7 linked regions of the Sus scrofa genome follow. The protein of the gene in region 2 interacts with the protein of the main gene of each other region in a pairwise test. Links are inferred from orthologs where the notes say so. Each region holds a gene or a part of one and is shown on either strand. Other genes may lie near its edges. The genes, in order: ZCCHC10, CEP70, SUV39H2, BRMS1, NRIP1, FAM133A and GPATCH4.

Region 1 (3,183 bases), on a different chromosome or scaffold from region 2:
GACCGGAAACTTCCAATGCTGTGGGTGGGGCCAAAAAAAAAAAAAAAAGAATAAAACCGTGACTATAAAGTACACCTTCTCTGTACTTTTTTCCATTTCCAGAGCTCACTTATAGCCTAATGCCTTATTCTGATTCCAACACGATTTTACTATATTGTACAGTCACACTAACGTTTGTGGAATGAAAACCTATAGTCTGATGACTCCTTTTAATATAGTTGTGGTCGAGAAATAATACCTTTACTACTTTTGCCAGAGACTCACATTCCAGAGTTCTGCTTTTAGGCAAGACGGGGAGACTCCCTTTAGAAGGTACCCTCCACTTCGCCCTTGATTCTGCTTTTCTGAGTAAACTGTGTGCCTCAAGTTCCTGTCCTCTGAACTTTTTCAAGGAAACCTTTAAACAGGTGTAGTAGCAAAAATAATTATAATTGAAATGCCCTTACCATCTAAATGGATAAGAAATGGCATGAAGTAGCAAGGGGATAACAGAAGCTTAAGCTTATCAGCACAAACTGAATTTTATTTAATTACAAGTGATATAACCTATGTATACAATTTTTCCCTTCCAAGTTTTTTAACTGCTAAAATTTCTCTTACAGAAATTACAAACACTGTAAATTGCACTTCGCTAGTAAATTATCAAATTTGCCTGTCAACAGACACAATCTGTATGGAGCCTTGAAATGATGTTTTGAGAGTTTATTGACAATCACTGAAAGCAGATAAAACAGGAAATGACAGATCCTTAAACTCATAACACACATAAACATTTAAATAGAAGTCCATCTTCTTCAAAAGTAATCTTTTACTACTTTTTCATAGAAATATAAAAGATATCTGTAATTTTAAAAACCTCTATTTCCTGCTGTATAGCACAGGGAACTATAATCACTTGTGGTGGAGCATGGTGGAAGATAATGTAAAAAAAAAAAAAGATGTGTATAAATGTATAACTGGGTCACTCTGCTGTACAGCAGAAATTGACAGAACATTATAAATCTACTATACTAAAAAAATGTATTTAACCCAAATCAAAATTTTTCTACAAGTGATACCACTTTCCAAAAAGTTCAAAAGACCTCGCAAAATAATCTGATGTTAAACCAAATAATTTCACCAGGACAGAGTATTTCACTTTTAAGAAATATTGTGCAGTATTTCTTTTTAAACTTTCACACTAGATTTCAACTGTTTATATACCATGTAACTGCAACAGATTAATCCAAATCATTCACATTTATGCAGTAGACTGTCATCTATTACCAGTTACCACAAAAACTGTCATACCACAATTGCAAAATGGTAAAAGGCAATCTCTATGAAAACTTAAAGAAATTGTAGTAAAAGGCAACCAATATTACTCTAATATTCTGTAAAAATTACCTCTCTTCTTCCTACCTCTTTCCCCTTCTGAATGGTATTTTGTAGCACATTAACACACAAAGGGATTTATATCACTTTTACTTAAGTTAGCTTTTCTTCGGAGCTGTAGCTTCCAGTTTATGCCACAGCCACAGCAACTCAGGATCCAAGGGCTGCATTTGTGACCTATACCACAGCTCTTGGCAACAGTGGATCCTTAACCCACTCATTGAGACCAGGGATCAATCCCACATCCTCATGGACACTAGTTGGGTTCATAACCCACGAAGCCAGGATGGGAACTCAACTTAGTTTTTCAAATGACTGTTTTCTTTTTTGATACACTGGATTTATCAACAGAAAACCAAGATTAGATCCCTATATAGTTTAAGAATTTTTGTTCCCTTTTAAAAGTTCCTCTAGAATAATTTTCCTCGGAAAAGGGTAACTCTAAGAACCAGAAAAAAATGAATGATATGATACAGTAACTAGAAATTTGTACCATCCAAAAGGTATAAATTTATTAATAGGTTCCTTGAACTTTCAATTTAGGACAAGAAGTCAGAGTAACTTTCTGAACATAAACATAAAAATAGACCACATTTATTAACAGTAGGAAAACTCCTAAGCTTATAGTAACAATGTATTAAATCTTACATAATAACATACAGCCAAAAGCTTTAAAAATTCACTGTCAGATATTTTGATGCATTATCCAAAAAACATGGCTGGTACATAGCACTAACATATCATAAAGTATGGCATTTATTTCACAGGGAGAAAACATAAATTTATTGGATTTCAGCTGTGATTAATTTTAGAGATATATTTTAAAGATAAAAAAGAAAAACAAGATTTACCCTTAAAAAAGTCTTTATAATATAATCAATTACTAATACTCTTTATGTTCTTACAATGAAAAACATTTAGAAACTTTTGGACTCCAGAAATTTTGACCAGTTAATCTATTTGGCCTTAACACATTCTAAATTCCCTTCTGAGAATCACATTAAAGTTTTCAGTCCATCAGTCCAGTACGGTTGGAGCAATTCTATTTCTTTTTCTTCTTCCGTGATGGTTCATCTTCAGAGCTGCTATCTGTGCTGGTGCTGCTGCTACTGGAAGAGCTGGAATCTGAGTCTGAATCAGAGGATGAGGAGGAGCTGGTGGAGGATGAAGATGAAGAACTGGAGGAGCTTTCATCAGTGTCACTGTCCTCTGAGGAGGAAGAGGTAGACGACTCTTCACTCTCTGATGAAGAATCACTGGCTGAACTGTCACTGCTGTTGCTACTGGAACTGGTCACACTCTTAGACCTATTAGACAATTATATGCACGAGAAGCTGACATTTAATAGAATGTCGAAAAGCAATTTCCCATGAATAGTGTGTGTGTGTGTGTCTGTGTGTGTGTCTGTGTGTCTGTGTGTGTAGCTTTGTTAGCATGCTCTCCCTATTCTGAGGCTTTGGGGATTGCCTAACTAACCCCATCGTGCCCACCCTCTTCCCTCAACCACAAGGTCTTTTACTTCAGCAATTTAACTCTCTTGGATGGAGTTCAAGATAAGTGTATCTACTATATTTCGCTCCAGAGTGAATGATGTTAGAACAAAGTTGTAGATTAACAACTGGGTTTATATAAACCTCCTGTGGAGTAGTAAATGTTTCATAACCTTAACTACTTTATCCCAGATTTAGCTGGTCAATTATCTCTTACTACTCTAATAACATTTCTTAATCTAACCCAAGAGAAATTATTTACTATTTCCAGGTATAAGAACTCTAGAAAGTTGAAGAAAAAGGAGAAATGACAGTAAAC
Region 2 (3,500 bases):
CTCTTGAAGTCTATGGGCTTCATTAATAGGACTAGCCTTAATTTTTTGTTTGCTTATTAAAAAGGCTTAGTTTATCTCAAACTTGAATCTTGCTACTTATTCATCTTTGCCTCCTATAAAGTTCTACCAAACAAGACATTTTTTAGGCCTATTGCCATGTTGAAAATCTGTAGTGGATCCACTTTGTATTTCTTTCTTTTTTTTTTTTTTTTTTTTGTCTTTTTGCCTTTTCTGGGACCGCTCCCACGGCATATGGAGGTTCTCAGGCTAGGGGTCTAATTGGAGCTGTAGCTGCCGGCCTACACCAGAGCCACAGCAACGCAGGATCTGAGCTGCGTCTGTGACCTACACCACAGCTCAGGGCAACGCCAGATCCTTAACCCACTGAGCAAGGCCAGGTATTGAACCCGCAACCTCATGGTTCCTAGTTGGGTTCGTTAACCACTGCACCAAGATGGGAACTCCCCACTTTGTATTTCTAGGCCTTTCCCAGTTCTCCCTCCATCTCCCTCTCTTTGGTATCCCTGTACTACAGATTCTCCTGGCTCTTAGTCCTCTTCACATATGATATCTTATCCTTTATTTCATTTTATTTGAGAATGTTTTCTCTCTCTTCATATTTTAAATTATTTTCCTTCTCTCAAAACTGAGCTTATCTCCACCTCTATATGTTCTCTAGAGCAGATATCTACTATTACGTATACTGTCTATCCATGGAAGATTAACATTTCTTCACTTTACAGAGATATTCTGTATTCTTGATTGTATAACTAGGTTTTTTTTTTCCAGTTTTTGTTAAGTAGTTCATGGATAGGTTAATTGATAAAGGCAGCAGCATTTAATTTCTGCTTATTTAAGTAAAAATATTTTGATATATTGAATCAAATATATTAAAATTAATGTCACCTGTTTCTTGTTACTTATTTTTTTGGCTGCTCCTGTGGCATACAAACATTCCCAGACTTCCATAGCTTCTCAGGTTGTGGCCAGGTATCAAACCTGGTCCACAGCTGTAACCAGAGCCATAGCAGTGACAACACTAGATCCTTAACCCACCAAGCCACAAGGGAACTCCTCTTTTTACTTTTTAAAATGTGGCTACTAGACAATATTACTGTGACATACATTTCTTTTGGACAAAATTGTTCTAAAGGACCAAACAGTGTACCATGTGCATAGTAGATGCTCTATAAATATTTATTGATTGTCTATTCTTAGACTTCCACACTTTTAGGAGCCTTGCTTGTGCAGTTTTAAATAGGACAAAATGGCTAGGCCAAGAAAACTAAGTAGGCTGTCATGAAGATTAAGTAGAATTATTTTAGGCCTCCTCTTGAATTAAAAACTTTCCTGGAGATACATGGATGGATCTTGAAAATATTATCCTAAGTGAAAGAAGCCAGTCACAAAAGGCCACTTACTGTATGATTCTATTTTTTTTTTTTTAAGTAAAATCCTCAGAATAGGTAAATCCATAGAAACAGAAGTAGATTAGTCGTTACCCAGGGGCTGGGAACAGAAGAGAATAGCTGCTCATGGATACAGGGTTTTTTCTCTTTTTTTTTTTGGAGTGATGGAAATGTTCCAGAATTAGTTACTGGTGATGGTTGCACATCTCTGTAAATAAGTAAAAACTGCTGAATTGAACCCTTAAAGAGGATGAATTTTATGGTATGTGAATTACATCTCAATTAATCTGTTATTTAAAAAAAATCAAGGACATGGGTATTCCCACTGTGGTGCAGTGGGTTAATGATCCAGCCTGTCTCTGTGGCATTGCCGGTTCAATCTCCAGCTTAGAGCAGTGGGTTAAGGATACATCATTGCCACAGCTGTAGTGCAGGCTGAAATGTGGCTTGGATTTGATCCCTGGCCTGGGAGCATCCATAGGCCATGGGTGCATCCAAAAAAGGGAAAAATAAATAAATAAATATCGAGCACAGAATAGAAAGCATAAGCTTATTTTTTGTCAATAATTCAGAATAATTAAATATCTGCTACTAATAAATAACATGTAATTGCTTTAAGCATCTGGATTCTAAACTGGTAATGGTGGAGTTCCTGCTGTGGTGTAATGGGTTGAGAATTTGACTGCAGCAGCTCAGGTCGGTGCAGAAATGTGAGTTCAATCCCTGGCCTGGTGCAGTGGGTCAGAGGAGCTGGTGCTGCCAGAGCTGCCATGTAGGCTGCAGCTATGGCTTGGATTCAGTCCTTGGCTCAGGAACGTCTCTATGCCACAGGTGCAGCCATCTAAACAAAACAAAACAAAACAAGACAAACCTGGTAATGGTACTTAAAAAACAACAACAACTGATGATGGTTTATATATATAAAACCTGCCTGGATAATTATATTTCATTAGTGTTATTATGGAAACTTTAAAAATCAATAATAGCATATCTTTTTTTTTTATGAAGGATTTGTATAAGTCCTTGAAAATACTATCAGCAGAACTGATGCCTTGGCATAATTTAAAGAAGCAGGATGAAAATGAAGGTATCAAAGTTGAAGATCTGTTGTTTATGGTAGATACCATGTTAGAAGAACTTGAAAATAAAGAAAAGGTAAAACTTATATAAATGTTCACATTTTAATGTACTGTTATCTTGGAAACTGATAATAATGAGAAAGATACTCTATTAGACCTCTGTTTCTCTTTTTAAAGTTTTTATTAAAGATTTGGAATAATTTAAAGATGTAAGCTATCTTTCTTTTTTTTCTTCTCTTTTGGGCAGGACAGTAATATGCCAGACTTTCAAATTTTGCAAGCAATTGTTTCTCACTTCCAAAAATTATTTGATGTGCCTTCTTTAACTGGAGTGTATCCAAGAATGAATGAAGTTTATACTAGGCTTGGAGAAATGAACAATGCTGTGAGAAACCTCCAAGAACTCTTAGAACTAGGTGATGACCTTTTGTCATTCTTGGCCCCCTAAGAATTATTATTAATAAATCAAGAAAAAGTAGGTTAAAAAATTGAGGCTATTTGAAGCATAAAATATTTGATTTAATGATTTTAAAAATTCTTTTTAAAAATATTCTATCCTTTTATTTCTCTTTTGCAGATAGTTCATCCTCATTGTGTGTACTGGTGAGCACAGTTGGAAAATTGTGTAGGCTGATTAATGAAGATGTGACTGAAAAGGTTATGCAGGTATTGGGACCTGAAGACCTCCAAAGGTATTTATTTAAAAAAAAGGTTGCAAAATATCCAGAATATTTGGAGTGGTGAAATTAAAAACTTCATAAATTATTTACCTTTCCTTTTGGAGCAGCATTTTTTAAGTAACTTGACAATCTAAAATAATCTCAAGACCTTTGTGATGGGGGGAATGTCAGGTGTTTTCAAGATAAAAATAGATTCTAGGGCCTGTAAGTTTACATTGGGTGGGTCAGGACTCCAGCATTATTGCTATAAGCTTGTTCCCAAGGGAAATTTTATATATATATATGGAGAAATTCAAACCTTGTTAGCAACTTCATGAGCACAGAATATATGA
Region 3 (4,236 bases), on a different chromosome or scaffold from region 2:
TATCTTCCTACACATTTTCTTACGCAGTTGAAACTGTATTTTATAGCTCTTTCTTTTGCTTGATATATTAAACACTTCACCATGATAGCAAAGTCCTCATAAACATGTTTTATTGACTAGATAGTATTTAATAACATAATCAAACAAATTAATTCCTTTAATGTTCTGCGTTTATTTCCAACATTTCAAACATAAAGGCTGCTTTGAACTAATTTTGTGTTTTACTTAAATTTCTTTTAAAAATCGTTGGTAGACATTAAACAGCTTTCTGCGGAACTTTCGCAATTTACTAGTCTCAGATTTCCGCATCAGATCGTGCAGTACAATTACCATGGACGCAGTGTGTAGAATGGACGGGGGCGGGGTGGGAGTGGAGACCAGTTAGGTCCTAGCAAAGGACCTGTAGGACTTGGCATCTTACAGCCTACCCACAGGCATGGGGCGTAGCCTGGGGGCTCGTCATAAACGCGGAACCTCAGGTTCCAACCCAGACATACCTGATTCGAATCTGCATTTTAACGAGATGCCCAGGGAATTCCCATTACGGCTCAGCGGGTTACTAACCCAACCAGTATTCATGAGGATGTGGTTCAATCCCTGGCCTGCTCAGTGAGTAAAGGATCCCTGTTGCTGCGAAATGTGCTGTAGCTGGAGCTCCGACTTGAGCCCTAGCCTGGGAACTTCCATATGCCCCAGGTGTGGCCCTAAAAAAAGGCAAAACAAACAAAAACACCAGGATGTTCAGATGATTCCTGTACCCATTCGAGTGTGAGAAGCACTGTTCTAGACCAGAGGTTTCAAATTCCACATTTAGAATCACCTGGGGACCTCTAAAAACTCCAATGTTCCGGGTACACCTTTTGCCTATTAAATTTCTGCGAATGGAACCAAAAAAACCCCAAACCTCCAAGGAATCCCAACGTGCAGCCAATTTTGAGAAACTGTGATCTGGAGGAGTAGCCTGGAAGGAAACGTAACAGTGGCTAGTAGGGCTCAGGTGGCTAAGGAACAGGTACGGGAAGGAAACGTACTCTGCACTTTGTAGCTCCGCTCTGCGTTTGAAATTTTGCACGGTGTGTATCAGTAGCACCATGGAAAAGAACTAACAACTGTAGGAAAGCCTGTGGTAAGTGCCTTGAATTAGGCGCTAAACTAGGCAGATCAGGGCAGGTGGCCGCTGACCCAGCCCTACACTCCGGTATTCCGGCCACGGGCTGCTCTCCGGCCAGTTTGCCCCGCCCCTCCGCACACGGGGAGACAACGTGGGGCGCAGGCGCGCTGGCTGTCCCAGACAAGTCGGCCTCGGCTGACGTCAGGACGCCTCGCGGGTTCTAGCCCCCCGCCCCGGCCCCCGAGTCCCGCGCGGGCCGGGCGGGGGCGGGGCGTCGGCCAGCTGAGCTATCCCGTCCGACCGCGCCAGTTTGAATGAAAGCTCCTCAAGATGGCGGCGGCCGGGGCCGAGGCGCGAGGAGGTGAGGGCTGGAGAGCGGCGCCCCGCACTGTCCCCCGTCCTCCAGGCAAACTCCCGAGGCCGGGGAAGCGGGGCCGGGACGCGCGGGCGGGCCGGAGCGCGACGGGACAGGAAGCCTCCTGCCGCGCGGCTGACGCGGCGGCCCCTACACGCGCGCCGCGGGCCCCTCCCTGCCCCGGGCCCCTGACCCTCCTCGCGGCTCGGCCCGCCCGCGGCCCGCAGTCTCCTCCCGCGCCCGGCCCCCGCGAGGCCAGGCCCGCACGCCCCGCTGCCGGCTCGCGGACTCGGCGGTCTGGGTCCCGCTGCCGTTCGGGCCCGAGATGGGCCCCGGCCCGGCCGCGGTGCGGAGGCGTTCGAACGGCTCCGGCGGATCCCTGCGCGGCTCGAGGTCCGTGGGCACACGGGGGGCTCGACTCCTTTGTGCTGCTTTGAGCGGGACGGTTCGCGGTCCGGGCCGGTTTTTGAACTGGGGAGCGGGAGGCCTCCGGTGGTGTAGGTGTGACCTCAGTATCCGAGGAGAGGAGTAGTCGGGGCGGAGGTGTGGAGGCTGAGAAAGGAAAGAAGTGAGGGTACACCCCATTTTGGACTTACTGGGGGGCTTCCGCTCCCAGTTGGGAACATCCCAGGAAGTGGGTCTCGGAGGTTGTGGCCTCCGGCTCATGGGGAAGAGTTCTCCCCGGCGGGAGCTTGCGTGGGAATTAATGAGGTGGACGCCAAGGAGCTCGGTGCTGAACGTGTATTTGTGCGCGCGCTGAAAGACTGGAACTTTCAATGCCTTCTGGAACCTGAAAGGTGTTTCCAGCACTGCGCTTCTCGGCATAGATCGTGGACTCACTGCCCCCCAGCGTGTCTGCCACTAGGGGTTAGTGTGAACTCAAGTTTTGGGGGTGGTCGCGAAACGTTTAATCTTATAAAGGAGTTCTTTCCCTATCTTATTAGAGGCGATCCGAATTGTTACCAGGAGTTTGCAGGTTTTTTAGGTTCCAGTCGTTCTCAAACATAGCATTTCTGTCGAGGCTTGTGTCTTGAATCTGCATAGTACTCCGACTAGATAACAATGGTAGGAACAGCAGACAAACATACCTTGGGTAGATAATCCAGAGGAAGGTCCTTTGCATGCCATCAGCATAAGGAGGTTATCTTGACGCAAAACTTCCTGAAGCTTTTTCAGTGAAAGGATTTAAAGGGTCGTTTCTGTTCTGCCAAATTCCCCTACGTCCAAGCCAACACTCCAAAACAAGCACACTCTTAGCCCTAAATTTTGAAGAGAACAATTCCTTTCACTTTCTTGGTCTGGAATTACGAACCCTACTTCACGGTTCCTGACGGTGAGGTGCCTGTGTGAGTTGGGGAGGGTGAGGACGTAGTAAGAACAGCTGTGTTCTCTCTTCCCTGGAAATTACTTCAAAACAAAAGGTTATCACAACTACCTTGGAGAGCTACCAAGTAAAGCTTGCGTTTACTGATGGATTTTGTTTGGTAATCCCAGTTTACTCCAACCCTCACTCCTTTCTTCCCCCCCCCCCCCCCGCAGTGAATCTGAAACCTAGAAACAGAGAAACTTCTCTAAAGCCAGCCTCAGGGAATCTGGGGCAAAACCCCCTGATCCTCCCTAGTGCTTCTCATAGTCTCATAGCCATAAAACCAAGTTTATGACATCAATTTGTGTTAACATTTTAGGTGCAGTGGGTAGCATGCTATTTACAGGAATTTGAGGGTAAAATCTTCCTCAGCACAGTTAGTTTCTAGCTTCCATTCGTTTCTAGCATACTCTTGATTATGAGTATGTCTGCTTTTCTTCAAGCTTGGTGTATGGATTATTTAAATTGATACTCTGTATTGTCATTCTCGGCTTTAAAAACAATACAGGAATTGAATATTAGAAAACTCAATATACTGTCCATTATTTTATTATAATTCTTGGGCTTATTTACCTTGATAATAATATATTGCAGCCTGGGCAAAACTGGAGTTAAAACTTCATGCAGCCTTCCAAAGTGGGGAAAGTAGGCCATATGATGTATGAGTAACTAAAGAATTATATTTCAATTAGGTTTTATTTCTTATTGTTCAGCTAGGAGAAAGGGGGAACGTTACTTTTAACAATAGACGATAATTTTAAAATATATTTAAGATGTATTTATAGTGATGATTAGTATGTCCTTGAGATCTACATTTTTATTAAAACAGCACTTCTCTGTAGAATACAATGGAAAAGTAAAAAATATCTCTACCTTTGCATTTATATGTAATTTAAAAAAAATTTATTGGTGCTTAGTTGACTTACAATGTTGTGTTAGTTTCAGGTGTACAGCAAGTGAATCAGTCATAAATAGAGCCATTCTTTTTTCCCATTAAGGTTATTACAAACCATTGAGTAGATTTTCCTGTGCTATACAGTAGATTCTCATTAATCATCTGTTTTCTACAGTAGTGTGTGTATGTTACTCCCACCCTCCCAATTCTTCCCTTCCCCCCAATGGTTTCACCTATAGTAACCTTAAGATTGGTTTTGAAATCTGTGAGTTTGTTTCTGTTTTATAAATTAAGTTCTTTTGTGTCATTTTTTAATTAGATTCCACATATAATGCATGTAATTTTATGAAAGCTTACAGACATGAAACATTTTGTTCAGGTGGCCTAGTAGAAACTAATTGACATCAACTAAACATGTTAGGGTAGAGACCCATGAGAAAATCCAAGAAGACCGATTTACCAAAATAGTTCTTTAATGGTTAACTTTTTCTTAAAGACATGTAAATGAT
Region 4 (4,143 bases), on a different chromosome or scaffold from region 2:
GGGCAGGAGGGATGGTGAAATCAGGGAGCTGTGGGTGGCCCTGGATGGAAAGGAGCCAGTGAGGCAGGAGGGATCATAGTTTAGGAGGTGGCTGGATGGCTGAAAGATCCAGGATGCCTCCAGAGGAATGGGCATGCTGGAGTGAGCAGTGATGTCCGTCTCTGGCCTGGGAACCTCATCAAACTTTGCTGACCTATTTCTCCCTCCACAGGCTTGTGAGTTGCACGTGGCAGGATTCGATTTTGAGGTGCTGAACGAAGGTTTCCTGGTTCATAAAGGCTTCAAAGAAGCTTTGAAATTCCACCCCCAAAAGGAGGCCGAAAATCAGCACAATAAGATCCTTTACCGTCAGTTCAAGCAGGAGTTGAAGGCCAAGTACCCCGACTCCCCACGTCACTGCTGAGCCCTTCCTTCCCCTAGTCTGAGAAGTCTCAGCCTCCTCCCTCCTTAGGCCGCCCCTCAGGCCTGACTGGGGTAAGAAACGTCACTCCACTTTACAGTGGTAGCTGTGGTGTTTGAACACTGGACTTGAATATGGGGTGCTGGGATCAAGTCCTAGCTTAACCACTAACTAGCTGTGTGGCCTTGAGCAAATCCCGTTCTCTCTCTGAGCCTCAGTTACCCCGTCTGTAAAAGGGAGGTGAGAATACCTACCTCACAGAACTGCTGGGAGGCTCAGATGAGATGCTATATGTGAAAACATTCTGTAAGCTTCGTACAAATGTGAAGTATTATTAATATTATTACAGTATTATTATTGTTGTTATTATTATTGTTATTATTATTAACAATCTTGGGTGGGTGAGCAGTAGGAGAGCAAAAAGTATGAATGGGGGCAGAGCTGAGAAGTCTGAGTAGTTAACAAAATGGGCTTTTTGGAAAGAAATCAGATGAAGGCGTTGAATTTAGTTCTTAGCTTTTGGGCAGAAGCCGAAACTTCCTGGTGTCTTAGGCCTCCGTCCCGGGGGCTCTAGAGAAGGGAAGGATCTGCAGGTTCTGTGCGTCTGAGATCTGTACCCTTGAATAGCCTGGGCTGGGTGATTTGCCTACCGACTACAATGTGTAAATAAATGAGTGTTCACACCTACAGCTGGCTCCATTACTCTCCGGAACCGGGCGGGGGTGGGGGCCGCGGGTCGCAGGTTCTCCCCTTTCGCGCCGCCGGGAGGTGACTGTGGACCCAGACGCGAGGGCTGCAAAGCTAGGAAGGCACAAGGGCCTTTCCTGCATGCTGAAAGCCTGTGTGAATGTCGGTCCGTTGCCATGGAAACCGTCCCGCGGTATCCCAGCATGCCTCGCCCCAGCTATCCAATTGTGAGCACTCCGATGGGCGCCTCCTGATGACGCATGCGGAAAGCGCGGGTAGGCCCCGCCCCCGGAGAAGAGGGACCGGTGCGGCGCTTCCGGGACCCCCACAGCGGCAGCCAGTACCGATAACCTCCGGCACCTCTTGGGGAATCTAAGACGTGAGGCTGGAAGCGCCACTACCTACGGGTGCGTAACGCCAACCCTGGCGCCTGGTTTGCCCTTTCGGACAGGCAGTCGGAGCCTGCCCAATATCCAGGGCGGTAGCGAGACTTAACCGCCCGGACGCGAGCTGGGGCCGCGGGACCGAGGAGCCAGTGACTCTCCCGCCCGCTCCGCCGCGTACGGAGATGGAGCGGGGCGCGAGGCTCTGGGTGCGCCGTGGAGGGACTGGGTCGGCTTCTTCGAGGGTGGGGAAGAATCTTCCTTCCTACGAGGCGTGCCCTTGACATGCTCGCTTTCTGAAAAGATAAATTGCATGTGCACAGCACCTTATAGTTTGCTTTTCGATCCCTTACCTCTTGCCATCTTTACAACACCCAGAGTAGTGATGGTTATCCTCATTTTGTACCCGGGCTAAAGTGGGGAGGATGTGATTTAATTTGGCTCTCTCAGTAGACCCAGAGACTGGTGGAGAGAGACCTCCCCCCAAGCCCCGCCCTCTCTGGTCCAGAAAGGTGGGACTTACCCCGAGTTGTTAAAATATATTTAACAGTGAAGAGAAATTGCAAAGTTTGGGAACTCCAGGAACTGAGGCTTGAAAAAGGGAAAGAGGAGGCTGATTTGGAGAACCGAGGTTTTCAGCTCAGGTTCAGATCATTTGTGAAATCCTTGAGGAATGCTTTGAAACGGCCCTCTAGGCCAGTCAGTTTACTCAAACTGATGTCAAGGAAAGGTGACAAAACACTTTGGGTTTGCTACCACTGTAGGGACCAGGGGCTACTAAGAAAGCCATTTCCTGCCCTGCAAAAATGTGTTTTGTTTAATTTGCATTCGCAAATCCTCCAGTGGTCTAGTGAGTCAGTACTGCGCGGGGTGGGTAAAGCGCGTGTGCAGCCCTGCCCTGGGGAGGCTCACAGACAGGCATGAGGATGGGCAACAGACGTGGAAATAAATAAGGAGGGGCATCTACGCGGATCTGAAGGACTACAAAGTACCCAGAGGAAAACATCCGGTGAAGTAGAAACCCCTTTAGTCAGAAATGATCTATTGAGACTGTTTAGTCTTCCTCTTGGGCGATCTTTTGGCAGCATTTGGCACTGTCTCATCTCCTTCATTCTGAAATTCTCTCTCTCCCCCTATACTCTGACTTTTTCCTCCTCTGTCTCTTGCTAATTTCCTTCTCCTTTCCTGGCATCTTGTCATCTGCCCCTTTGATGACCCTAGAAGTTCCATCATGAACTCCTTCTCACTCCACACATTCTGCCTTGCTGGTTGCACCCTCTCCCAAGGCCTGAAGAACTCACGATGTGATGACCAGATCTCTGCAGCCCACATTTCTCTGTGAGGCTTAGACCCATGGACCCCCAGCCCTGCCCCCTTCTCTCCTCTTGGGGTGTTTGCACCTGCTACTCACTCTACTTAGAATGCACCCTCTCTTGACCAGCTCAGCTCATCTGTCTGGCCCATCTTCCTCTGCAGGCCCTCACTGCTGCAGCAGGCTCCAGGTCCCAGTTAGATGCCTCTCCCGTAAGCCCCTGGTCTTAACTCTTCTCACCCCACAGCAACAGTCTGTTTCTTAGCCTTTCTGTCCCAGGAACTTGTAAACTCCTTGAGGTCAGAGACTGTCGCACCTGTGCCCAGCTCCTACCATAGTGTCTGCTGCTACCTAGCATGTATTAGATCTTCAGTAAATATTAAATGAGTGACTAAAAGAAGGAATGCTTAAGACTGTTCAGTTTGCTGAGAAGTCAACCTAAGATAAGCACCAAAAAATACTGGCATTAGGTACGAGGAGTTCGTCAGTTAACTCTACAGGATGGGCTTCAGCTGAGAGTGATGATACAGGAACAGAACAAGTGGGAGGTGGGCGAGTAGGAATAGCAAGTGTCCACAAGGCCTTGAAAAGTAGCCATGAGGTGGAAAACGGCGAGCAGTGGGGTGGGGTGAGGTTTTGTGTTTCTGCTTTCTCTCTCTGGTGGTAGATACCTGAGCACGTCTGACGTTCTCTGGGAGGAGCTGTCAGGAGCGAGAGTTGAAGATGCATAAGGGAGAGGGCAGCACTGAGGACATGAGATCATGAAGGAAGCAGGAGATAGGATTTGAGCCCAGTGAGAACACAAGCATCGTAGAGTGTTCTCAGGAAGAGAAGTGGAGGGCGGTGTAGGCAGAAGAATAGCACAGGAGTTCCCGTCGTGGCGCAGCAGAAAGGAATCTGACTGGGAACCATGAGGTTTCGGGTTCAATCCCTGGTCTCGCTCAGTGGGTTAAGGATCCAGCATTGCCGTGAGCTGTGGTGTAGGTCGCAGACGCAGCTTGGATCTGGCGTTGCTGTAGCTGTGGTGTAGGCCAACGTCTACAGCTCCAATTGGACCCCTGGCCTGGGAATCTCCATATGCTGCGAATATGGCTCTAAAAAGACCAAAAAAAGAAAAAAAGAAAGAAAGAATAGCGCCGTGGGCGTTAGGGCTGGTGGGGAAGTGCGTGGTATATTTGAGAACTGGCCAGCAGATGGTGGGGTGAAGGAGCTGGACCGGTGATTCAAGTCCAGTCTGTGCAGGGCCTTGGAAGCCCGGATCAGAAGTTTGGGCCCAGGAGTTCCCATTGTGGCTCAGCAGTAACAAACCTGACGAGTCTCCATGAGGATGTGGGTTCACTCCCTGGCCTCGTTCAGTGGGT
Region 5 (3,498 bases), about 100 Mb from region 2:
TGGCTCAATAGCATATTAAGTTTTTCCAAGAAAAACCAATGGTTATTTTTAATCACTATTTCAAAATCACAGATCCGATGGAGTGACTGTGTATAATTCTGTCATGTATATGTGCCCTCTGTATTTGTTTGTTTAGTTGAGTTTAGTGTCTTTCTTGGGTTTGAAATAAATGTTTTCATCTTTGTCAGCACTGTTCTGAGGACAAGGATTTTAATAGAAGTTAAGGATGTATTCGGGAGGAGTTTCCAAACCATCCTGGAATCACCTGAGTTTGGTAAGTGGCCCTGTTAGTCCATCCCTAAGGCTAATTAAGTAGATGTTACTCATTAGAACACATAAATAATCACAGATTTTCCTGAGATGTTGAGCCAGGTATGAAAGTTGTCCCCTTCACCCAATTTTTTTTTTTGTCATAAAAAGTATTCTGAACCCGATTTCCAAAGACATAACAGTAATATACGAAGTACAATATTGCAAATTTTGAGTTGATGTGTGACTATACTGGGGAAAATATAGGCATCAAATAGTTTGTTTACAATCCTGTGTTCTGAGAAAAGTCAGGCAATGGTTTTCAAATTTCAGAGTGCAGAAGAAACACCTAGGGAGTGTGTTAAGATGCAGAAGGAAGATTCCCAGGTCCACTTAGCAGAGATTCTTGTTCTGTGTAGATCTGAGATGCTGCCTAGGAATCTGCATTTTAAAACTAGTGCTCCAGATGATTCTAACGCAGGTAGTCTGAGTCCAGCTTTATTAAGAAACCCTGGTCACAAGACTCACAGGTACCACAGAAATGGTGAGAAGTAGCTTTTATAAGAGATGGTGAAAACTGTCCAAAGAAAAGCCATTTTGCTTCTGTTAAAAACAACTTATTTCTACTATTCAGGAAACCACCTGAAGATAAATGCTAACTCTCCTAATTCTGCAAAAGGAGGAATATTAATTTAGTAAAGTAGTTAAAATACAAAAATGGAAATCTGCCTTTTTTTAAGATCTATCAAACTTCCATCAATTGTAATCAATTTTTTACTAAGTAGTACAAGGTTTAAAGAAATATAGTGTATTGAAAAGGACTGGGGTGGAGCAGACACATTAGGGAATCATAAAACCCCTTCCAAGAGTTAAAAATAATTTTTTCTTTAGCAAAAGTGAAAAATGTAAGCATATTTTTCCTAATTTATGTTTGAACTGAATTGAGAAATAAATCCGAACTAGGTTTTTTAATTGAACTAGGTTCAACAATTATCTTTAAAGAGTTATTATTTAATAAATTGGCCTTAAAAAAAAATGTGTTGTGTAGGCTGACTTCTGAAAAGCAAAATAAAATACCCTAATAAAGGCAGCAATGCATTAATCCACTGTGGATGAAGATTTACATTTTAATGTATGCCTGTTATCTGTGATTAAAAAAAGGATATCATTCATAGGCTACTCACAGTTGTTGTCTGATGCATACAAAGTGTTAAACAACCACTGGCTAGTTCAGCAGCTTCCTCATGACATCTAACGTAAAGCAAAAAGTAGTATGCATATTTAAACATCACCAGGAACCAAGACTTTTCAAAATGAGAAAGTTTCAATTATACCATGCTTTTCTCAAATCATGCGCTTATTTATACAGATCTCAAGTTCAAACTCATTTAGTTTTTAAAAAGATCCAAAGATGGACGGCAGGTACATTTTATTCTGATTCCTTTTTTATTGTTAGCATGTTTCCCAGAAGTCCATAAACTTCTCCATTTGCGCTGTGTGGGCGAGAGGCATTATTTCCCATATGGCTATTATAAGGGCTTCTTAAATTAAAGAAAGAAGCTTTAGTTTCTGCAGCAGGGAGTAACTCTTCTTTGATTGTAACCTGTGAGATGTTTTCAGCAGAGGAAGGCTCCCTCCAAACGTCCTTGTCTTGTGTTTCTCGACTGGTAACAGAATTGCCTCCTTTCTGGAGCATGTAATACAGTATTGGGTTAGTTTTGGTCAGTCTTGGAGAGTCTTTTTCATACTCATTCTTTTCCGCGTCTGTGATAACCCACTTAATGGGTCTCTTCTCACTGGGCATGGAACACCCGTTCACAAGCCCAGATTCTGGTCTGGACCCTGTGCAGCCCAAGTGCTCAGGGAAAGGAGGACTCAGGGGAGTTTTGACTCCTCCTGGGTATGGAAATGTCCTGCTGTCCATGCAACTGCTGGGCTGAGCGGCACTGTACATCAGTCCATTTAAAGAAGAAATGCTGAATTCAGGCTTGCTGTTGGTCACACTGTTTTTGCATCCTTTCTTTTTACTGTCACCGACAGAGTTACTCCGATGCTGGGACAAATCTCTCACACAGTTTTCTGAGAGAAGCAGCTGTTTCAAAACGTTGAAGCTTTTGCTCTCTCTGGCCCAACTCCTGTGTTCACTTTCGCTGGGTGAACTATGACTGCCAGGGTATTTCAAGTCAAGCTCATTTCTGCTAAGCTTCAGCTCTTGCTGGTTAAGCAAGGACCCATACAGCACCTCCGGAGCACTGTGACTGCCTGCAGCATCGACTATGTTATTTTTCATCTTTTTAAATGGATTTTCTAACGGCTCAGTATAAAGCTTCCTTTTCTTAGGGACCATGCAAAGATTCTTTGATTCCAAAAGTGTCAGTTCACTGTTTCTGTGACTGCCGTCCAGGTCATCAGCCGGGTAGCTCTCTTGATTTTGTCTCAGCAAGCGACTTAGCAGACCGTTCTTTGAGAAAGAAAAATCCTGAGGTGAAGCGGGCTCCGATTTCAAGTCCTCGGGAGCTGGTAAGGCAGCTGCGCCTCTCTGCACGGGAGGAGCCATCCCTAAGAATGGGGCGCCCTGAGCATCGGGGCTCGAGTGCACATCCGGGGTGTGCGCGTGGAAGTCGTCGCAAGGCTCAGATTTTATTTTCACCATCAATATTTGTTCACTTAAAGCTCGGTCTGTATGTTCCTGAGTACTTCCCTCCCTTAAGGGAATCTTCTCTTTCTTCTCCATCTTCCCTTTGTTGGAGTTTCCCAGCAGCAACTGGAGGACAGTGCGCCTTTCAAGCAGATTTTCTATTTCGGAACCAGAAAGTCCGGGCTCAGGGCCGGCTGAGTGGCTGCCGAATGCTTTATTTTCTTCAGCTGGGTTTGTTTTATTTGCGAGCAGAGGGCTACCGAGTCTCTCCATCACACCTGTAGGTTTATCCGTGTTGACGCTTAGCAGCTGTTTACTGGGTCTCTGCTCTTCCCCTGACATGGAAGACTGCATGCCACACTGCGCTAAATTTTTTAACAGCTTGCTGGCACTGAACGTGGCAGAGTTTTGTGCACCTTCGTTTTGGACTGGTTTCTCTCCTTGCAAGTCTTTGCTCTTTGTAAGGTCCATCAAGCGGTTGGAGGTGGCATTTGTTGGCTTTTCAGACGGAGGGCCACAGGCATACGGTGGGGAATTCCATCTAATGACCAAAGAATGCTGGGAAAGGTTGATGGGAGACTCGGCTTTGGCCGATGCAAGTAGGGGTGGAG
Region 6 (3,803 bases), on a different chromosome or scaffold from region 2:
CTCCAATCTATCTTACAGCCTTTGCAATCTTGGATTTCCCAGCCCCAGGAGAAGAAGGGATCATTGTGATCTGGCTTTGACTTTATTATATATGTCTTGGTCAGCACCTCATTTCTGAAGTATGGATTGGGTAGGAAGCAAAACTCAAATGTGTAACTTATAGGCCGGCCAGGTTTTGAGAACTTCAGGCTAACATCTGACAGGAACTTCAGAATGGGCTCATCATACTTCTGAATCATGGGTCCCAGCTTGTCAACATTCTTTAAGACAGTCAGCCAATAGTCGGGAATGCCTTTAGGATCTTCTCTTTTAGGCTTTCCTTTGCGAGCTCTTTTCAGAGCCCTTTCTTTAGGCCTGACCTCAGGAATTCTTTTAGGAGCTTCTTTTACAGCAACCCTGGCCTTAGTCGCCTCTGTTGCTTTAGGCTGCTCTCTGTCTTCTGCCTTTGCTTGGGGGGCTTCTTTTGGATCTTCCTTTACTTCAGGCTTGGCCTCCAGAGCATCTTTAGACTCTGCTCTTTCTTCAGCCTTTGCCTCGGGATTTTCTTTAGGGGCTGCATTTTCTTCAGCCTTGACCTCAGGTTTTGGTTTTGGGTCCTCTTCTTCCTCACCCTCTAAGGCAGGCATTTCACTAGGGCCCTCTTCCTGCACTTCCTCATCACTGCTAAACACCTCATCCTCCGAATTCCATTCACATTCTTCCTCCGTGGGCTCATATTCTGCATTGATGATTTGGAATCGCCGATCATACAGAGGCCTATTGAGTTCGGCATATTTTCTTTCGAGCTCGTGAATTGCCTTTAAGAACAGGGCGTCTACCTTGTCACATTCATCTTGAATATTTCTGAGCGCCTGCACACGATTTCTAACTGCCCGAGGCAGCTGATCCACGAAACTTCTACCCGACGGAGCCCGCCGCGCCCTTCTGGAAGGCCCAGGTACCCTCTTCTTTCTATAGAAACGGCTGCGGCTATTGCTGCTGCTGCTGCTACTGCTGCTGCTGCAACTAGTGCTGCTGCTAGAGCTGCTGCTGCTGCTGCTGCTGTCAGATTCTTCCCCAGAATCGCTAGACGAGCTAGCCACCATCTCTTCATCCACCCCCTGGGCCGCAGCTCCCGAGACCCTGTTAGGATCCGCTTCTGCCATTCTGCAAGCCTGCAAACCGCTTAGCGTGGTGACTACCGCGCGCACAGAGATGGGCCGAAAATGACTCACGGATGCTTGGGTGGCAGCGGTGGAGGTCGGGGCAGCGGCGAAGGCAGCAGGAGTGCAGGGCGGGGTGGGGCTGGGCTGAAGCCGCGGAGGCGGCAGCGACACTGGAGGCCTGAGCAAGAGCGGCAGAGGTAAGGGCTCTCCCGGCTGCAGCTGCTGCGGACCGAGGCGTGCCTCAGCCGAATGGCGCAGTGCGAGACCCCGAGATCTCTTCACTACTAAGATATTGAACCCCCCCCTCCCCTAGCCGTCAGACCTCCCGTTAATTTCGTTCCCAGTGTGCCCTTTAGCTCTCACCTCATTTGCTAGGCATGCTTGATCGACAAACCCTCAGGCCAATGAGTAGCCAAAAGCACCGCCCCCTCCAGACTCCGCCCACCTTCCCAGACGCTCCTAGGTAGCTAAGGCTCATACCCCAGGAAGACGTTTTTCCCCCTCAAAATTTTATCCTTATAGTTTTATAATTCAAAAAAAAAAAAAAGCTTAGCTATGAGGTAAAAATACTAGTCATGGTTTCTAACAAGGGAAGAGGAGTATCCTTCTCCCATCTGCCCTTCATTAATTCCCGTTTGGTTTGTCAGGGGCCTCGTGACAAAAATCTGTTTTTTAAAAATTGGATGAAAATACTCCAAATGACATCTTTGGGTAGTGTGCTTGTGGATGATTTTTTAATTCTCTTTCTTCTATCTAGATGTTCTATGAGCATGTATTTTTACACTGGGGGGAAAAGAGGGAGTCGTTTATTGGCAAAGCGGGGAGGGGCTAGAAAGCAGGCATATTGCCTTCCACGTAACAGTTTTAATAAGTGCTGTCTGTGGTGTTTGGCAAGCCTGGTTTATATCCATCTACAAGGTTTGCGAACCCATGTTGCCGTGAGTCAGTTACACCATTTTTTACTATATTTCTCCTTTTAATTTGGCGTGTAATAAACCCCAACCTTGCTGCTGATTTGCCACGTAGTCCTTCTCAATGCTTGTAACAACCTTGTAGATAAAATAAGAGGGCATTCAAATGTTAGGTAGTATTTTTTAAAAGCAGACGCTTTGTTCTATACTTTCATGCAGCACTTTTCCATTCCAGGAATAGCAGGATGGGAGGGGGAGTCTGTGCTGATGAAACTGCATCCTCTGTCAGGGTATACTTTACAATGTCATCTGCCACCAGTTTCCTTCTAAAATTGTAAAATGCTAGCCATACTAAAGTATGATTTACAAATCCAGTAATATGTGAATAAACTTGCAAAATGAAGTTTAAAAACAGCTGTTATTTTTATTTGCAGGATTCTTTTCTGCCACAGAACAACTCCCTTGGTACAACCAAAAAGACCCGTGTTTACTTTTCATTAAAAGGTAAGGAACATATTTAGCCCATTTTTATGAATGACAAGAATTACCTATATATATTTGAATAAAAATTCACGACAGAGTCTTTTAAAGACTTAATTGGAAGATAGTTCTATGTAAGCAGAAAAATCCACAGAGGTGATTTAGAATATTAATGAGGAAAATAACCTAATTAATGACATTCACTTTCTAAACCTGCTCATAGAAAGCAAGTAGCAAATTAAAACATAACATCTGATGAATTATTCATTTCAAATGAGGAAAAATATTAAAGTAAGATTAATCTTTATGTTGCTTCTTTATTATAGGATTTGTGCTTAGTCATTTAGTCATGTATTTATAAATTAAGAAACACTTTTATTTTCTATTTTGTAAATGAATTTAGTTTTATTGTTTATTCCTGATTGTCAAAGTATGTAAGCATTGTAAGGGAAAATACAATATAGAAAATTAAAATAATAATAGAAATACACAATTTTAATCAAATGATAACTATTGTTAGCATTTTGATGCATTTCCTTCTGGAATTTTCTTTGTACATGTACATGCCTGCCTATTTATATATACTGTTTCATCTTGTGAACTTATGTTTTGTAACCTGTGCATTTATCAGTTAATTGTGGCTATACTTTCATAGAAACCGATCAATATTTTATTTTAAAATAGATGCATATTTCATGGAAATATTTGCCTTAATTTACTTAACCAGATTCCTCTTGTAGGGCAGTTACTCCCTGCACCATCTTTCCACTAACGTACATTTTCCTGTTGTTAAAAAAGTTAACCCTGGATACCTGCTATATGAACTTGTAAAAACTAGTCATCTGATGAATTCCTAGAAATGGAAGTGCTAGAATGAGTTGTATTCTCATTTTACTCTTTGACACATATTGCCAAGCTTCTCTCCAGAAAAAATGATCACAATTTAAAATCCCAACAATAATGCATGAGTTTATTTAGCCATTCAACTAATATATTTTTGTGCCTGCCACGTGCCAGGCACGTGTGGTAGAGGATAATGATATAATGCTGAATAAAACTTAATGGGTGCATATCCTCTCATTCTATAATTTTCATTAAAATATATACTATGGAAGGTATGATTTAAATCAATGAAATTATGCTATAAATATTGTTCTACAAATTATTATTTTTTTAAATGATGGACATATTTTGTTAATGCTTTATATTTTTATAGTACTTTAATGATTTCATATATATGTTAAATTTTATACTATCAAGAATCAGC
Region 7 (4,234 bases), on a different chromosome or scaffold from region 2:
TGGTGGCTCCCAGGCTAGGGTTCACATCAGAGCTATAGCTGCCAGCCTACAGCACAGCCATAGCAAGGCAGGATCCAAGCTGTGTCTGCAACCTACACCACAGCTCATGGCAACGCCAGGTCCATAACCAGGGATCCAACCCATGTCCTCATGGATACTAGTCGGGTTAGTTTGTTCTGCATCACAACAGAGAAACTCCCACAAGTAGCATATTTTGAAAGTAAAATTAGGAGTTCCCGTTGTGGAACAGCGGAAATGAATCTGACTAGGAACCATGAGGTTGTGCTTAGATCCCTGGCCTTGCTCAGTGGGTTAAGGATCTGGCGTTGCCTTGAGCTGTGGTGTAGGCTGCAGATACTGCTCGAATCCTGTGTTGCTGTGGCTGGGGCATGGGCTGGCAGCTACAGCTCTGATTAGACCTCTAGCCTTGGAACCTCCATATGCCCTGGGTGCAGCCCTAAAAAAACAAAAAAAAAACCAAAAAAAAAAAAAGGACCAAAGAAAAAAAAAAGTAAAATTAGTTTTTATGGAAAAAAATCTTATGGGGATGAGGGAGTATGAAAGACTGAGCAATTATTACAAGGTTTTACTAGGAAATAGCCTTTGAAGTTCTGGGGGGGGTGGAGGTGGGGCAGGAGCACTAAGTTACTGTGAATTAATGAAAACGAGGGATTCTTCTTTTCAGATTTTATTCTTGGGTGGCTTAGTTAAGCCTTGGAACAGTCTGTGGTAATGAGAGCGTGTGCAGCCTCTCTTGTTGATTTCCTGGCAGTAGGTTCTTTCCCTCCTCTGATCAAGGGATCCTCATACTTGACAAGGCAAGTCCAAACACCTCAGCCTGGTATGGATTCCAGGATCCTGCCTCTCTTTTCAGTCCCACTCGTGGTCCCAACTTTGCTTGGGCTATACTAGGTGCTCCCCGAAGTTAGGGCTCGAGTCTTATGCATCTTTGAATCACTGGTACCAAAGGGGCAGGTCCTGGCATACGGTGGTGAGTCAAAACGTGATAAACCTACTGAAACTTCTCTTCTCTAGGATTTTATAAATAACTGTTTTCCCACAGGCTGAGTATTCATCCCCCCAAACCACCTCAGAGGTACTACCTCCTCTGCCTCTACGAACCTCTCAGGCCACTCTCGGTGCTTCCCCCTAAAGTTTTCCTTCCTCCTATTTGTGTCTGGGACGAGACGGTGTCAGACGGAAGGATCAGGATCCCAAGTGAGCCGGTTAGGGGTGAAGTCCCGTGGCCGCTCAGGGCCTACAGGGAAGAAGCAGGACACCTCCCAAATCTCTAGAACTGGGCGCGCTCTGGGGCTGAGTTTCTATGACAACCATACAAGTACGTGGGCCACGCAAAAGTACTTTCCGGAGGACCACGGCGACTTTGCTTCCCGCGAGCATCTCTATGGTTTCCACCGCCTAGAAGGACTGAAACGCACTTCCGGGAAGATGGCGGCGCGCAAGATGTCGCTGGCATGTGTTTTTGCGGAGAGGACCTTGCAAATGACGGTAAGGAGCTGTAGTCCCCCAGACGGTGGCTGTCGGAGCCCGGGCTCAGAAGCAAATGTGAGAGCAGGAAAGTAGTTTCACCAAAGCGAAACTGCGGTAGGAGGGCTAGAATTTAGATCTCAAGAGGAAGGAGGTCTAGGGAAACGGTAGCTGGCTGTTTGGATCTGCTCTAAAAATTGTGGACCTGGGCCCCTTCTCCAGAAAACTCAGGTTAACTGGAGAGAAAACAGTTCCTGAACGTGCAGTCGCTGCCTTCACAAAGACTGCGGCGCAGAGCCTGGGATCTAGTTGCTTTTGTCCACAGTTATCCATTCTGTTAAGGCAGTTTCCACCTGTGTCCTTCAGTTCAGCGAATAACGACGGAACGCATTCTCTGTTCTCGGAGCTGCATTAGAAGCACCGGGGTTGGGGAGTAAAACCAGGGCATATAGTTTCGAATTACTGTGAAGAGGGACAAGCTGTGGTAAAGTCCTACAGTGTAAAGCACTAATGGCTGTCAGACTGAGGACCCTAGTGATTAAGAATGTCAGTTCTGGGATGCCTGAGATCTTAAATCTGCTACTTACCAGCTGTTTCATTTGGACAAGTAATGAAACGTCTCAATGCCTTTTCCTCATTTGGAAATGAAGGTAAAAATGCCTCCTCATAGGGTTGTTGAAATGAGGTAATGTGTGTGAAGCTGGCATTGAATGAATGCTGAAATGTTAGTTGTTGTTGAATCTGCGGCCTGATGGAAATAACTTCTGAGAAGAGGCAGAGCCTCGAGGTGGCCTTAAAGACCTCAGTGTTTGAACTTGAATTCTCTTGCAGTATCAAGAAGCAAGATAGGGCCATTTCTTCACTCAGTGTTTTTCTGTTGGGACTCTCAAGATCTCATTTAGGTTTTCAGGTAACCATCCTTCACAGTAGAAATATGAACAGACATGTGAGTCATCCTAAATTTGCTCCTCTTCCTATCTAACCAGACTGGTCATCATTCTTAGGCCTAATACGGAATATTTGGGAGGAGTGACTTAACGATGTGTCTGATTTCCCCCCACCCCCCCAAACTAGGATACTTCCTAGACCTTCTTAAACACAAATGAAAGTTTTGGCCTTTGGAGTTGTCATTTGGGGAGGCTAGAGGATTACTCCAGTAGTGCCATTAATTGGCTTTAAAAATGGTCTGCAATGCTTGTAATAAATGATCTTAACACAACTTCATTTAAGTGACTCAGGTCAGCAGTGATAGTCTTTAGTTTTTGTTTCTTGTTTCTGTTTTCCTTTTTCAGCCACAGCTGTGGCATATGGAAGTTCCCTGGGCCAGGAACAGAATCTGAGCTGCAACTGCAACCTATGTCACAGCTGTGGCAAGCCAGATCCTTAATCCACTGTGTCAGGCCAGAGTCTTCTGCCAAGAGTGCGGACCTAAAAAGACAAAAAAAAAAAAAAGCCCTAGCACAGCCTGGCATGTAGTGAGATCTCCATAAATTTAGGTGTTATTATTAATACTAATCCTCCTTGATTTTCAACATGATGATATTAACCTCTCTGTGGTCAGACAGGGAGCACTCAAGGACCAGGCCTCCTTCCTCTGTTTCTGCTTCCAGGAAGAATTTTTTTTTTTCAGGGCTGCACCCACGGCATGTGGAGGTTCCCAGGTTAGCGGTCTAATCGGAGCTACAATTGCCGGCCTACACCACAGCCACAGCAACGCAGCATCCGAGCTGTGTCTGCACCCATACACCACAGCTCATGGCAATGCCAGATCCTTAACCCACTGAGCGAGGCCAGGGATCAAACCTGCAACCTCATGGTCCCTAGTCGGATTTGTTTCTGCTGCATGGCAATGGAAACTCTGCAAGAAAGAATTCTTATAAGAGCAGTCAGGATGGATTTTTTGCAGGATTTGAGCACTTTTTCCTTTCCTCTTAAAGGGATGACTGTGAACTCCTCTTCTCTGGTGAGGGGCTGAGGACAGTGACTCTTTTCTCACCATGAGTGTCACCCCAGAGGTCAAGAGTCGTGGGATGAAGTTTGCTGAGGAGCAGCTGCTAAAGCATGGATGGACTCAAGGTGATCCCCACAGGCCCCTTCCACGTACCCCCAAGCCTCTGCCTGGGGAAGAGGGATCCTTCTGGGTTAACCCTATGTAGTCCTTTCAACTGCAGGAGGAAAAGTTAGTTTAAAGGGAAATTTGTGAAGAAAGTTGCTGGCTTTTCCAGAAAAGGAAAGAATGGGAGAAAGAAGTGGGAGGACTGGGAGGGGGAGGAAGAAACATGACCTCTGTCCTGAAAGAATTATGAAGGAAGGATAGTTCAGGCTGGAAGACAGGAGGGCTGCATGGAGAGGTGCTGGAAAGAATGAAACTGGGAGGGCTTCTGAGAGCGCGGGGGCTTTCCTAGTGCCAGGTGTGTGGATGGCAAGGATCCGCCATGTGCTGGGGTGAGGGCTTGGGGTGTTCAAATCATTCACTGTCTTCCGTAGGCAAAGGCCTGGGCCGGAAGGAGAACGGTATCACCCAGGCCCTCAGGGTGACACTGAAGCAGGACACTCATGGGGTAAGCCTGGGCTGGCTGGGGGAGGTCAGTGCAGATGGGAGAGGGGGGTCTTGAGGCCAGGGGAGGGACGGGAATAACACGTCCTGGGTTCATTCATACTTCGTCCTCCGGCAGGTGGGACACGACCCTGCCAAGGAGTTCACAAACCACTGGTGGAATGAGCTCTTCAACAAGACAGCAGCCAG

Evidence for each region.
Region 1: the proteins of CEP70 (region 2) and ZCCHC10 interact in binary tests that used the Homo sapiens proteins (3 or more experiments, as listed by UniProt). The two-hybrid records come from large-scale screens. The link is inferred for Sus scrofa from reciprocal best matches to the Homo sapiens genes CEP70 and ZCCHC10.
Region 3: the proteins of CEP70 (region 2) and SUV39H2 interact in a two-hybrid assay, tested with the Homo sapiens proteins (2 studies listed by BioGRID and IntAct). The link is inferred for Sus scrofa from reciprocal best matches to the Homo sapiens genes CEP70 and SUV39H2.
Region 4: the proteins of CEP70 (region 2) and BRMS1 interact in binary tests that used the Homo sapiens proteins (3 or more experiments, as listed by UniProt). The two-hybrid records come from large-scale screens. The link is inferred for Sus scrofa from reciprocal best matches to the Homo sapiens genes CEP70 and BRMS1.
Region 5: the proteins of CEP70 (region 2) and NRIP1 interact in binary tests that used the Homo sapiens proteins (3 or more experiments, as listed by UniProt). The link is inferred for Sus scrofa from reciprocal best matches to the Homo sapiens genes CEP70 and NRIP1.
Region 6: the proteins of CEP70 (region 2) and FAM133A interact in binary tests that used the Homo sapiens proteins (3 or more experiments, as listed by UniProt). The two-hybrid records come from large-scale screens. The link is inferred for Sus scrofa from reciprocal best matches to the Homo sapiens genes CEP70 and FAM133A.
Region 7: the proteins of CEP70 (region 2) and GPATCH4 interact in binary tests that used the Homo sapiens proteins (3 or more experiments, as listed by UniProt). The two-hybrid records come from large-scale screens. The link is inferred for Sus scrofa from reciprocal best matches to the Homo sapiens genes CEP70 and GPATCH4.

What each region holds. Positions count from the first base shown.
Region 1 is NC_010444.4:135,326,036-135,329,218, reverse strand, and holds the end of ZCCHC10 (zinc finger CCHC domain-containing protein 10), read right to left. Parts: intron 2,682-3,183; coding exon 2,417-2,681; 3' UTR 501-2,416; downstream 1-500.
Region 2 is NC_010455.5:79,310,441-79,313,940, reverse strand, and holds part of CEP70 (centrosomal protein of 70 kDa), read left to right. Parts: intron 1-2,417; coding exon 2,418-2,564; intron 2,565-2,735; coding exon 2,736-2,904; intron 2,905-3,065; coding exon 3,066-3,180; intron 3,181-3,500.
Region 3 is NC_010452.4:46,897,094-46,901,329, reverse strand, and holds the start of SUV39H2 (histone-lysine N-methyltransferase SUV39H2), read left to right. Parts: upstream 1-1,436; 5' UTR 1,437-1,441; coding exon of another isoform or gene 1,442-1,472; intron 1,473-1,680; exon of another isoform or gene 1,681-1,859; intron 1,860-4,236. UniProt on the Homo sapiens protein: Histone methyltransferase that specifically trimethylates 'Lys-9' of histone H3 using monomethylated H3 'Lys-9' as substrate.
Region 4 is NC_010444.4:6,044,734-6,048,876, forward strand, and holds the start of BRMS1 (breast cancer metastasis-suppressor 1), read left to right. Parts: upstream 1-1,343; 5' UTR 1,344-1,494; intron 1,495-4,143. UniProt on the Homo sapiens protein: Transcriptional repressor. Down-regulates transcription activation by NF-kappa-B by promoting the deacetylation of RELA at 'Lys-310'. Promotes HDAC1 binding to promoter regions.
Region 5 is NC_010455.5:179,825,729-179,829,226, forward strand, and holds part of NRIP1 (nuclear receptor-interacting protein 1), read right to left. Parts: coding exon 1,679-3,498; 3' UTR 1-1,678. UniProt on the Homo sapiens protein: Modulates transcriptional activation by steroid receptors such as NR3C1, NR3C2 and ESR1. Also modulates transcriptional repression by nuclear hormone receptors.
Region 6 is NC_010461.5:76,148,349-76,152,151, forward strand, and holds the start of FAM133A (protein FAM133A), read left to right. Parts: upstream 1-1,500; intron 1,501-1,584; exon of another isoform or gene 1,585-1,608; intron 1,609-1,614; exon of another isoform or gene 1,615-1,705; intron 1,706-1,725; exon of another isoform or gene 1,726-1,856; intron 1,857-1,890; exon of another isoform or gene 1,891-2,083; intron 2,084-2,490; 5' UTR 2,491-2,560; intron 2,561-3,803. Other genes in the region: NAP1L3 (nucleosome assembly protein 1-like 3), read right to left, coding at 1-1,145.
Region 7 is NC_010446.5:93,484,931-93,489,164, forward strand, and holds the start of GPATCH4 (G patch domain-containing protein 4), read left to right. Parts: upstream 1-1,434; 5' UTR 1,435-1,509; intron 1,510-3,425; 5' UTR 3,426-3,485; coding exon 3,486-3,564; intron 3,565-3,975; coding exon 3,976-4,049; intron 4,050-4,163; coding exon 4,164-4,234.